3 linked regions of the Oryctolagus cuniculus genome follow. The protein of the gene in region 1 interacts with the protein of each later gene in a pairwise test. Links are inferred from orthologs where the notes say so. Each region holds a gene or a part of one and is shown on either strand. Other genes may lie near its edges.

Region 1 (4,116 bases):
GAAGAAAGCTTAGGAAAAACAGCATGGGCACCCATGTCATCAGCCAGAACAACAAGAGAGGGTGAAGACTGGGGACAGACATGGTGTTTCATTGCAGAGGGAAGAAATAGTAAAAAGGAAGAGTGGATGTAAATAATCTTCCTGGTTTATCATTTTGATGTTCATCAATTTCAAATATTTTTACTGTATGTATCAATATTAATGTATTGTTTTAATACAGTAGACCCCTATACTGGTCAACCATGTATAGATTTTTTGGACAACCCTGAGAAGTGGAATACAAGCTACACGTTGAGCAGCATCTTACTCACTCTACAGGTAAGAATGGAGTTAATGCAATGCTCCCTTTAATACTATTAATATCGCAATCATACAAAACATAAAGATGAAAATACAAAGTCTTTTAAAGGACTTGAGCAAGTTTATCTAAATCAACATTTCTATGTTAAGTTTCTAAACTGGAATTTAAATTATAAAAACTATTATTTTAAAATGAAGTGAGTAGCTAAGGCCCTTTACAACTGAATACATATTTCATGAAGAAGAACAGTCTTATTAGGATGTTTCAATTCTAGAAATACAGCCTTAGATTTTCTTTTTGCTCCTGACTTCACTTCCTGATATTGAGCAGGCCTTTTAGGTCTTTGCTCATTCCTGAACCTTGCCGTCCTCAAAGAAGTGAATCAAATGATTACAGCTGAGAATGTTTTGCTTTATCCTTTGTTTCTGACAGTGTTGGCTACTTTCTCTTACATGTTCACATCAAACCGAGTGAACAATTAAACCAGAGATTTTCTCTCCTCAGATAGATGCCTGTTTCCCAACTACTACCTCCATCCCCTCTGGGCCCGTGGTACTTAGTAACATGCTCAGTGTTTTGTTATTCCTGACCCTGTAAAACCCTCCTTTCTTATCCAATGCTAAAACAAAGTATTTCAGCCAACCAACTTATCATTAGTAACAAATGGAAATATAATATTAAATTTTTATTATCAAGAACACTTGGAGAATGAAATATTCTGGCTTAATTGAAATTTTCTCAACATAGAATTACTACATAAATTCCATTTCTCGTTTTGTAGTTTTAAAAATAAATAAAATAATAGTTTATTTTCTGGAAGGTCAGCTTAGTATACTGAGTAAAATGTAAATCCTTTTTAAAAATTCAGTATTCGGCCGGCGCCGCGGCTCACTGGGCTAATCCTCCGCCTTGTGGCGCCGGCACATTGGGTTCTAGTCCCGGTCGGGGCGCCGGATTCTGTCCCGGTTGCCCCTCTTCCAGGCCAGCCCTCTGCTGTGGCCAGGGAGTGCAGTGGAGGATGGCCCAAGTGCTTGGGCCCTGTACCCCATGGGAGACCAGGAAAAGCACCTGGCTCCTGGCTCCTGCCATCGGATCAGCGTGGTGCACTGGCCGCAGCGCGCCAGCCGTGGCGGCCATTGGAGGGTGAACCAACGGCAAAGGAAGACCTTTCTCTGTCTCTCTCTCTCACTGTCCACTCTGCCTGTCAAAAAAAAAAAAAAAAAATTCAGTATTCAGTTCATTCATTAACTCCTTCTGAAAGTGTTTAGAGCATCCACCTGCATGGGGCTGTGTCCTAAGAGAAATCTGAGTAAAAATGTCAAAGAAGCGAGCGAGGCAGGTAGATATCTGGGGTTCATCTTCTGGATCTCTTCAAAGGTAAAGGTGAATATCAACACCCACCCCTAGAATAGATTCCAGATCCATGGGCATTAACTAATTTTATCTTACAAAATGTTATCTGCTGGTGCCACTGTTTACTGGAGCTCCATATTTTGTATTTATCCCTTGGAAAGCTTTTTATGTTATTTCATTCTACCACATGGTTATTTTAAAAGTTGAGCTTTCTATTTTTATTATTTAGCAGATGTCTGATTTATTAATTTTTAATATGACTTTATATTCCAATTCTTTAAAAATCATAAAATATACTTAACAGCTTGTATATATATTACATAAATAGATCATAGGCACAGTGGTTAATGAGAAGATTATTGAGTAAACTTTACCAGATAAGCTTCCCTTAGTAAAATTATATCTGTACAGCCAAAGACCAAAAGCCTGTATAGAAGGTAAGTCTCCTCTACCCCCACCCACTCTGAAAGGTATAGTGAAATCCACACTGAACCCTTCTTGAAGCAAGTATTCCATTCTTGGACATATAGCCCCAATGTGTTTCCAAAATAGGAAAACTCAAGTTACAGCAGCAAATTCTTGTTGATTTTGAGATATCAAATGTCAGATGGTTACTTTCATGATTGAGAGATTGCCATCATTCCTGTAACTTCCAAGCCACAACTGTCCACTTTGACCAGCATCTACACTTGTATATTGCACGGTTTAGCATATCTTATCATATAATTTGCATGTTGTAAGATACAATGTCTATATTACTAAATTGCAATAAATATTTTCAATTTGGGGAGATATAAGTCATGGTCTTGTGAAGTTGTAGTTACTTCTGGTCATTCGTGAGATGCAGACACACAAGATTTTAAAGATGTCTGCCATGTATTACTGTGAAAGGACTTGCAGATGAAATTATATTTACTCAGCAGCTGACCTTCAAATTGTCCTGAGTTGTGCCTAGAAATGAGCAGCTACATTCACTGTAATTACATTTAGCAGCAGGAGAAGACAACTACAGATAATAAATTAATCAAGTGTGTGCAACCTCAGTACCTGTGCTTGTTCATCCATGTTCTAATGTGGTATCATGTTAAAACGTAAAGCTTTATTTCTTAAGCCCGTGTAATGGAAATGTTTCAGTGTTTCCTAATGTTTAGTTCCTTTTCCATAAAAACCCAGTTCGAATGTGTATGACAGGAAGGAATGTGACAGGAAGGACTGTTAACTTGCTCTGACACCAGTGTTTAGCTTGTGAGTGTGCAGTATAAAACCAAGACAGATCGGAAGCTTCTTAAGTGTAAAGACTGTGTCTCACGTTACCTTTATGTCTATTCACAGGTCTGTGCATAGTAGGTATTTAATAAGTACTTATTGAAAGTTGTATTATCGGCTTGTCTTTCTGCTCTAAAATGTTATGTTGTCTATGTTTTCCTATAGGTTATGCTGTCTAATCCAGGGCTAGAACAGCCAGTGAATTTGGAAGCAGCCCAAATGCTGATTGAAAATGAATCTGTATACAGAACACTACTTCAAAGACTTTTCCACAAGTCATGCGAATGTAAGAAATGCCTACTTACTGTTATGTGGTAACCATCGATTATGCATTAAATTTGTATAGCAAATAAGTAATCTAGAAAATAATCATTATATAATGGAATATTTAAATATTTTCTGTATCCATTTTCAGTTAAAAATGGTACAAAGATCCCTTCTACTATAACTCTTTGTCAAACCAATCTCTTTCAAAAGATCAACAAAGACCTTAAGCTTATTATCTTTCAATGCTCTGATGGTGTGGATGGTTGGTGCCAGTTGAAACGAGTCTACCCATCAGAAAGATGTCACATCCGAGTTTAACTCAAGTACTTGGGCCATCATCTGCTGCCTTTCCAGCCACATTCTTCAGGAGCTGGGTTAGAAGCTGAGTAGCTGGGACTCGAATCGACACTCTGACATGGGATACTAGTGTTGCAGGGGGCACTTAACCCACTGAGCCACAATGCTGGCCCCAAAAACTTATTTTAAGGAATTTTCTATCTTTCTTGGGTGCTTTTTTAAAGTTAATTAAGTTTCTAAAAAAAAAAAAAAAAAAGAAGGTGAAGGAGAAGGAGGGGGAGGGGAGAAGGAGGAGAAAGAAGAGGAGGAAGAGGAGGAGGAGAAGGAAAGAAGAGAAATTAACTTCCAGATGCCATGACTTGGAACAGCACTTGTCTCAACTGTTGAGGAACATTTTTCGATTTTTTTTTCATCATGCAAATTGTAGAACTCTTTGCATAGAGTCGGTCTTCTATATATGAGATTGATTGAAAATGGATCTTAGTGGAGAATGGGACTGGGAATGGGAGAGGGAGTGTGTGGAGGGGTGGGAGTGTGGGTGGGAGGGTTTCTTTGGGAAAATAAAAGGTTTCTTTGGGAAAAAAAAAAAAAAAGAAACAAACTACTCCTTCCCCCCCCCAAAAAAAATAATT
Region 2 (4,112 bases), on another chromosome or scaffold:
CAGCATTTATCACAGAAGCCAAACACAAAACCAAACCAAAAGCCCCAACACAACTATAAAAAAGTGTTTTGAGTAGCTTAGCTTAGCAAATTTTGTTTCTGTGAAACAGAACAGCTCTTTGGCTTGCCATCAACCCTGTACCCAAACAGGAAGATATGCTGCTGAATACACAGCAAAGATTGAGGAAGCTCTTCACAAATTCTCTTATCCACTTCTGGTATTTTTTTTTTTGACAGGCAGAGTGGACAGTGAGAGAGAGAGACAGAGAGAAAGGTCTTCCTTTGCCGTTGGTTCACCCTCCAATGGCCGCTGTGGCCGGCGCGCTGCGGCCGGCGCACCGCGCTGATCCGATGGCAGGAGCCAGGTACTTCTCCTGGTCTCCCATGGGGTGCAGGGCCCAAGCACTTGGGCCATTCTCCACTGCACTCCCTGGCCACAGCAGAGAGCTGGCCTGGAAGAGGGGCAACCGGGACAGAATCCGGTGCCCCGACCGGGACTAGAACCCGGTGTGCTGGCGTCGCAAGGCGGAGGATTAGCCTAGTGAGCCGCGGCGCCGGTCCCCACTTCTGGTATTCTTAAAAGCACTTTCCTTTTATGACCTGTAATTATAAGAATAAAACATGATGGCAGCTCAATCTAGAACAGGTTTTGGTGACTCTAAACTTTGGGGGTTGATTCTGTACATATGTAGGAGAGACATCTGGATTATTTGTACATAATGGTACTTTGAATTGAATATGGACCTGGGTGGATCCTTATGCTGTGAAACAATGGAGTGTCAGAGAAGGAATAAAATGGCATCATTCAAGTTATCCCTCTCCTCACCTCCCATATCCCATATTTAATGAAAAGACATGAACACCACTTTTGAAGAAACAGTTATCAATGATTTAATGCTTGATAGAGGAACAGAAATCAATACTTAAATCAAATAGTATGCAGTCACTTGAGGAAAATACAGAATAACCACCAAACATTTCTATTGTTTTAGTAATGAAAATGAGATGTGTCCACCTCTCCAATGTGCTTTACAATTCTGCAGACAGTCTTAACACAGGTCACTGGAGAGAGGTAGATGAAAAATGATGTGCCCTAGAAACTATACAAGTTTGTTGGCTGTATCAGTATTTATATTTGTTTATTGCCATCTTTCTATGTCTTGGCTTTTTTCCAATCCATATGATCCTTTAGAAGGCAAGAAATGTCCATGCTGAAGTTTCAACAGTAACCAACTAGGGTTAATCCATTTTTTTGTTACACCTGCAATAAGAAACCAATCCAAGATGGCACAGTCCTCAGCCAAGAGGTATGGTATTATATCCCTTGGTGATACTAAATGAATGAGCTTTCACACTAAAGGTGATCTGACCTGAAGTATCATGCTACAGGGATATGATTTCTGAAATATCACTGAAAGGCAGAGCAGATTCCACTGAAGCATGCACACTGAATGCAACCAGAGTTGAAGACAAAGTGTCACGGATAAAGCACATTATTATAGGAAAGAAACAATGGACCAGGGACATCGAAGCCAAAAGGAGAAAAATCAACAGGGTTTCAATACAAGGGCACATTTCAAACACAGAGACAAGAAGTTAGAGTGGGTGTTTCTACTGAAGCCTTGGAAGTGCCTAATTTCTAATTAAACTTCAGCTAACACCATCATGTGTGCTATTTGGGACAATGCATTTATCAAAGCTTTAAATTTAGGCAGGAGTGGAATGGAAGGGAAGGAGGCTTAACAAATAAAAAACACTAAAATACTAAAATTCTAGGACTACCCAGTTGGAGACAAGACCTAGGCCAAGTCTACTTTATGGTGCCACCAACCAAGGTCTGAGGGAAGGGAAGTTGGCTGGGAAGCAGAAGAAATTGGTATTTCTTATACCCTAGGGGGTGGAATATCTTCTCAGATGATAGCTGTAGATCTTGATACAATGATCCCAACAATCCAAGACTAGCAGCTGTCCCTTAGGAGTGAGGGCAATGCCCACAGGACAGGTGAGTCCCTCTCGAATCAGGACACTAAAGCCCCCACCCTTAGGAAAATGGAGGATTTCCTTGCGACTACTGTCAGCCACGATGAGGTCACCACGAGCATCCACACACATGCCAGCAATGCAGCGGAAGTCCTCATTCTCTGAGAAGAAGTGGCTGATCTGGCGACCCAGCTGCCCATCAGGACCCACAGAGCCAATGGAGAAGCCACCCTCCAGGTGGTGCTCATTCTGCCGATTCTCCAGATTGAGGCCTAAGCCCTGGGTGAAGTAGACGGTGCCTTCAGCATCACAGGTGACAAACTTGGGCCGCACAGCACTGCAGAGGCAGCTGTATTTGACCACCCCTGCTCCTCGGTCAACAGTGAAACACCAAAGCTTTCCCCCTTCTACATCAGTTACCACAAACTGACCAGATGGCAGGGCTGTGATACCCCATGGTTTGCTCAGCTGGCTTCTATGACAGGCCACGCAGTGGCCATCCAAGGTATATACCTTGAGGGAGTTGTCATAGCTGTCAGTCACACCAATCAGCCCATGGCAGTTCATGGCCACTGAGAGAGGAGTGAGATTGGGCAAATCAGCCCCCAGGAAGCTTAGCACAAAGCCATCAATGCCACTGGGGCTGCGGCGGATCTCCTTCAAAAATCCTTTGCGAGTAAAGACTTGTATGCGGTAGTTACCACGGTCAGCAACCAGCACCTCCCCTTGACTGGTCACATACAGACTGACTGGAAGATTGAACATGCCTGGAGTGCTGCCTTTGGCCCCCATCTTCTTGAGAAATAGGCACTGCTGGATATTGGAAGTGGCCTCAGGACCTCGGTGTTTAGCAGGTGAGGCCCTAGGGCTGGCAGCTACTTCCTCAGGGCTCATGTCCATCTCTCTAAATGTAACAGAAGTAGAGGCAGCAGAAGCTGCAGCCTCCATGGCCCAGGAATCTTCCATGTTAACTGTTCGGGGCTTTTTAACTGCCTGCCCAATTTGGAGGGGGCCGACATGACCTACCTTAAGGAGCTCCACATCTTGTAGGGTGAGCTCCCGGGGCAAGCTGGCAGTGAGCTCTGGCTCTTCCTCATCAGCTGTCTCCTCCAGGAGGGCCACATCTGCCTGCTTGATCTTGGCCAGGAAGTAGTCACAGCGAGACACCGCCTGGACCTCTGCAATGTTAAGCAGGTAACTCTGTTCCTCAACAACCTGAGTATTGGACTTCTCAACTTCAGCCAAAGAGCCTGTGAAAAACTTCCGAGAACGGGCCAGCTCATCCTGGACCCTGCGCTCCTCATGCCCGTACTCCTGAAGAACTGCTTTGTATCTTGCTTGAAGGTCCTTGGACACGCCTTCTAAGGCTACTTTCCGCCGCTGCAGCTCTTCCATGAGCTCCCTCAGACGGGTTAACTTCTCTCCAAAGTCTCGACGCCGCTCCTCAGCTGCCTCTTTGACAGGAAGTGTACTGTGGCCAGGAGGTTGGTGGTCTGCTTCCCGGCAGGGCTCACACAACACCAAGCCACAGCTCCGGCAGAACTGCCGGGGCAGCCGCCGCCCACAAGCGCGGCACATAAGCAGCCCTACAGCCTCACTGAGTCCAGCTGTGTCGATGATCTTCAGCACAGTCAGGTTGTCTGTGAGCTGGGTCAGGCTGGTTATGCGGGTAATCTTGCTGCAAAAGGGACAGCGGACACCATTGATGCTACTGGCCAGGAGCTTCTCCAGGCACTGGCGGCAGATGGTATGACCACAGTGCAGGAGCTTAGGTCGCAGCTGCTCTTCCGTGAAGGACTCCATACAAATGGGGCATTCCAGCACTTCCCGGAGAGCATCCAGGTTCAAGTGAGACGCTGCTGCTGCGGCCATCACTCTTCCTTTGAAGGGTACTGGTAGCACAGCACAGGACTGAGTAGCTCAGTATTCATGCCCCAGAGAGTAAAATTCCTGCTAAAGAGACAAAAAAAACCATTATTCATTTTCTACTGCCTATATAAGTTAATTCACTCAAGAAACATTTAGATGAGAGCTATGAACATTCATTCAGTTATCTAACAAAAACTGAGATACTATGTGTAAGGTGATAGTGACACAAAGGGAAACAAAACAAAGTTTTGCTTAGTGGATAAG
Region 3 (4,116 bases), on another chromosome or scaffold:
TGCTACAACAGTCAGCAACCTGGGTGTCGCAGGGCAATATGAAGAACTCACAGGGAAGGAAGAGTTGAGTTCTGACATTGTCACTTGGTGTCTGGGTCTCCTCATACAAGTCATTCAGTGCCTGTGAAACTGTTTCCCCATGGAAGAAAAAGCATTGGAATAGTACCTGTCCCACCACTATTTAGGGTTAGTGTCTGTATGAAGTCCAATCATGGATTTGATACTTTGAGAACCAAGTGTTGCTGTGTGCTGGGTGGGGGTTTTGATAAACAGTGGCTAATGTGTAATCCAGTGCTGTGGCTCCCCTGTCCCTTGACCCCATCTCAATGTATGCTACCTTTTTGTTTTCTTATGTCCCTTTTGGGGTGAGTCTGTACTGGCTGCTCACTTGCAGGTCTTTTCAACAATATTGGACATTTATTTTATAGTATTGCTTACTAAGACCATTCTCCCACTTGTTTAATGAGCAGATCATTAGATTCATGATCTATGCCCAATTTGGATCGTAAGCTTGTATCCCTGCTGTGGAGCTGACTCCTTGCACTTCTTATCCAGACAATGTATGCTTGGGAAATGAAATATTAATTTGGCAATAGAATGAGTTAAATCAACTGTGGAAAGTATAATGATGTAATTTTTCTCACAGCCAGAATAAATACATTTTCTTTCCTGCTTTGAGTTATCTGGACAGCTAGTAATCTACGTCTTCCCTATTTTTACCCTCAACCCTTGCTTTGGAAGTGACGTAAGCATTGATAACTGAGGGTGCATTCGTTACTATCAGAAGCCCTGGGGATTCAGCTGATGATTGTCAATTGCATGCAATTTCTCACCCGTGTTGTTTCTAGAGCCCTCTTTGGGACAGATGCGGAAGCCCCCATTAAGCAATGCCCAGTCTGCCGGGTTTATATCGAACGCAACGAAGGCTGTGCTCAGATGATGTGCAAGAACTGCAAGCACACATTCTGCTGGTATTGTCTCCAGAACCTGGACGTAAGTTCCACCTGTAAGGGGTTTCGCACCTAGCTTTCCTTGACTGCATCTGCACCACAGCCGCTATCCCACAGGTTTTCCTTTTAAAGTGATCAGCTTATTTGTGTCCTGCAAAAGGATTTTTTTTCTTTGCCAGACCTTGTGAGTCTGCTATTTGATTGGTTTTAATTATTTTATTAAGAATTGTAGGTACTTAGGGACTACTGTGTGATATTTCAATACAGGAATACAGTGTGTACTGATCCAATCAGGGTAATCAACATTTCTCCTTCTTTGAAGGTACTTTATGACTAGGGGCTTGGAGTTCCTTTCTTCTACTACTTTAGGTTTTTACACACACTCTTTTTAATTAGCTTAAGTATATCACCTTGGCTTTAAAGGCAAGGGGGGTATTGCCCAATACCTTTATGTAAAGGAATATTAGTGGATTAGTTTTCTATTGCTATTGTAACAAATTATCACGAACTCCACGGCTCAACACAGATCTGTTACCCTACAGTTCTGTGCACGGCAAGTCTGACAGGAGTCCCACGCTGTTGGGCAGGACTGCATTTGTTTGTGGAGGCCCTGGGGAGAATCTGTTTCCTTGCCTTTTCCATCTTTTCTAGGCTGCCCACCCTTCTTGGCTGTGGCTCCTTCCTCCATCTCAGTGCCAACAGCATTGTATCTCGCTGACACTTTTTCTGAGTCTCTGCCTTTGAACACCCTTATAATGAGATGGCACCATTTAGATAGTATAGCTTAGTCTTCCCCATCTCAAGGCCTTTAATTTATCTTCACACTTTCAAAATGTCTTTTGCTAATGTAAGGTAACCAGTTTTCAGGTTCTGGGGACTAGTTCTTAGGCATGGGGATTGGTCTGCCTCCCACAGTTAGGTTGTTTTCCTCTTTTATAATTTAAGGAAAACACCTGTTCACATCAGTAGTGTTTCTTAACTAAATCTCATTTACTGGCATGACACAGTACTGCTACTGTTTGGTCAATATTCCCTTAGAAAATCAAGGGAGTTAGCCAAATTATTGTTCCCTCTTTTACTCTTCATGATGGAGGTTTAGGGTGATATCTATGAATAAGAATCTTTGTAAAACGTTTTTTACTTTTTAAGATTTTTGATTGACATGTTAATACTTGAATATTTTATGGGGTATAGTGCAATATTTCAACATAGATATCAGCATAAATTGATCAGATTGGGCCATTAGCATCCCCATTTCTTATTTTTTTCTTTGTGATTGGAGCTCCTTTCTTCCACTTTGTTATACAGTATATAGTACATTATTAGAATAAGAATTTTAATCAGGAGGAGATGTTTGGTGTAGCGGTTAAGATCTACCCGGGACACCTGCATCCTATATTGTGGCACCTGGATTCAACTCCTAGATCTGCTCCTAATTCCAGCTGCCTGCTAATGTGCACCCTGGAAGGCAGCAGGTGATGGCTCAAGTGCTTGAGTCCTTGCCACCCAAGTGGGAGACCTGGACTGAGTTCCCAGCTCCTGGCTTCAGCCTAGCCCAAACCCATCTGTTGCTGGCATTTGGAGAGTGAACCAATGGATGGGAAATTCTCTCTCTCTCTCTTTCTTTCAAATGCATAAAACAGCAAATAAAAGTTAAGAATTTTGATGATAGTCTTTCAAGAAGAAATACCAAGTGGGGAGAAGAAGATGGTCATTTTGCATGCTAGAAGTACAGCAGCTCACATTGAAGGAAATATTTTCCTTTAAATTTTTGTTTTGGATTTATCATAGCCTCTTGTGTAATAGTTATATTTGATATTTGAGGCCTATTATAATTCTAAATCAGCAATATTATGGATAAGGATTTCAGAGTGTATGGCATACGTGCATTATGAAAAAAAGAAATCTTTGTTGTTTTCCTTCAGATTTATTTAACCAGAGTGTTAATTGGATTCATATCCACATGGAGGCCGAACCCATGAGGTTCTCCTTAGAAGGCAAGAATATAAGACTAAATGTGTGCAGCAGATCTACATCCCTTAGCTGAAATACGTTTGGAGGCCAGTGCTAGCTGAGAACACGCTGTTCTCTTGCTGTGCTGCTCTGGTTCTCCAAATGAAGTGGTGCAGATGTTCAGTGGCTGGAGACACAGATTTCAAACACTGCAGCATCTTTCTCTCCTCACTGTCTAATGAGATCCCATTCTGTCTGTTTTCTCCAGGGCTACTGACTTGCTGGTAATGATCTTGTTCTGTAGACAAATGTTCTATGTCACAGAGTGGCACTGATCTCTGTTTTTAGGGATGTGGAGAGCACAGGGCCAGGAGAGGGATGGTGGTCTAAAATCCAACTCTGTGATAGATACCAAGATTCTGAGTGTTGCTGGGGTATTGAGTTTGTTCCTGCCTTGATGCTCAGCCCTGCCAGGACAGGGTATTGCTTTTTTTTTTTTTTTTTTTTTTTTTTTTTTGACAGGCAGAGTGGACAGTGAGAGAGAGAGACAGAGAGAAAGGTCTTCCTTTGCCGTTGGTTCACCTTCCAATGGCCGCCGCGGCTGGCGCGCTGTGGCCGGCACACCGCACTGATCCGATGGCAGGAGCCAGGAGCCAGGTGCTTTTCCTGGTCTCCCATGGGGTGCGGGGCCCAAGCACCTGGGCCATCCTCCACTGCACTCCCTGGCCACAGCAGAGGGCTGGCCTGGAAGAGGGGCAACCGGGACAGAATCCGGCGCCCCGACCGGGACTAGAACCCGGTGTGCCAGCGCCGCTGGGCGGAGGATTAGCCTAGTGAGCCGCGGCGCCGGCCATGGACAGGGTATTGCTAATCTTCTTTGGACTCCTGTTCCCACTTGTAGCCTCACACACTTGTCCCTGCCAATGATCTTGTCTCACCTGTGACTTCTATTTCTGTTCTCTCATTTAAAACAAGTCAGTGAATAAAATGAGCAAGCTTTTCTCCAGCCTACATCTTCTCCTCCCTGCCCCTCTATTTTTCTCCTTGGTTTGGAAGCCAAGCTTCAGTGAATCCTGGTTACCTCTTGCTGTTGACATCCCCTCCCCTGCCAATCACTGTAGTGCACTCAGATTGCCACCCTGCCACTTCCTGCCTATATTTTCTCTCCAGGATCTTGAGTAATTTCTTACTGGTGAAACCCAGTAGATGCTGC

The links.
Region 2: the proteins of UBE2U (region 1) and TRIM32 interact in binary tests that used the Homo sapiens proteins (3 or more experiments, as listed by UniProt). The link is inferred for Oryctolagus cuniculus from reciprocal best matches to the Homo sapiens genes UBE2U and TRIM32.
Region 3: the proteins of UBE2U (region 1) and RNF144B interact in a two-hybrid assay, tested with the Homo sapiens proteins (2 studies listed by BioGRID and IntAct). The link is inferred for Oryctolagus cuniculus from reciprocal best matches to the Homo sapiens genes UBE2U and RNF144B.

The regions. Positions count from the first base shown.
Region 1 is NC_091438.1:108,530,584-108,534,699, reverse strand, and holds part of UBE2U (ubiquitin-conjugating enzyme E2 U), read left to right. Parts: intron 1-220; coding exon 221-318; intron 319-3,085; coding exon 3,086-3,206; intron 3,207-4,116. UniProt on the Homo sapiens protein: Catalyzes the covalent attachment of ubiquitin to other proteins.
Region 2 is NC_091432.1:220,212,167-220,216,278, reverse strand, and holds the end of TRIM32 (E3 ubiquitin-protein ligase TRIM32), read right to left. Parts: intron 3,933-4,112; 5' UTR 3,852-3,932; coding exon 1,890-3,851; 3' UTR 866-1,889; downstream 1-865. UniProt on the Homo sapiens protein: E3 ubiquitin ligase that plays a role in various biological processes including neural stem cell differentiation, innate immunity, inflammatory resonse and autophagy.
Region 3 is NC_091436.1:145,652,515-145,656,630, forward strand, and holds part of RNF144B (E3 ubiquitin-protein ligase RNF144B), read left to right. Parts: intron 1-848; coding exon 849-993; intron 994-4,116.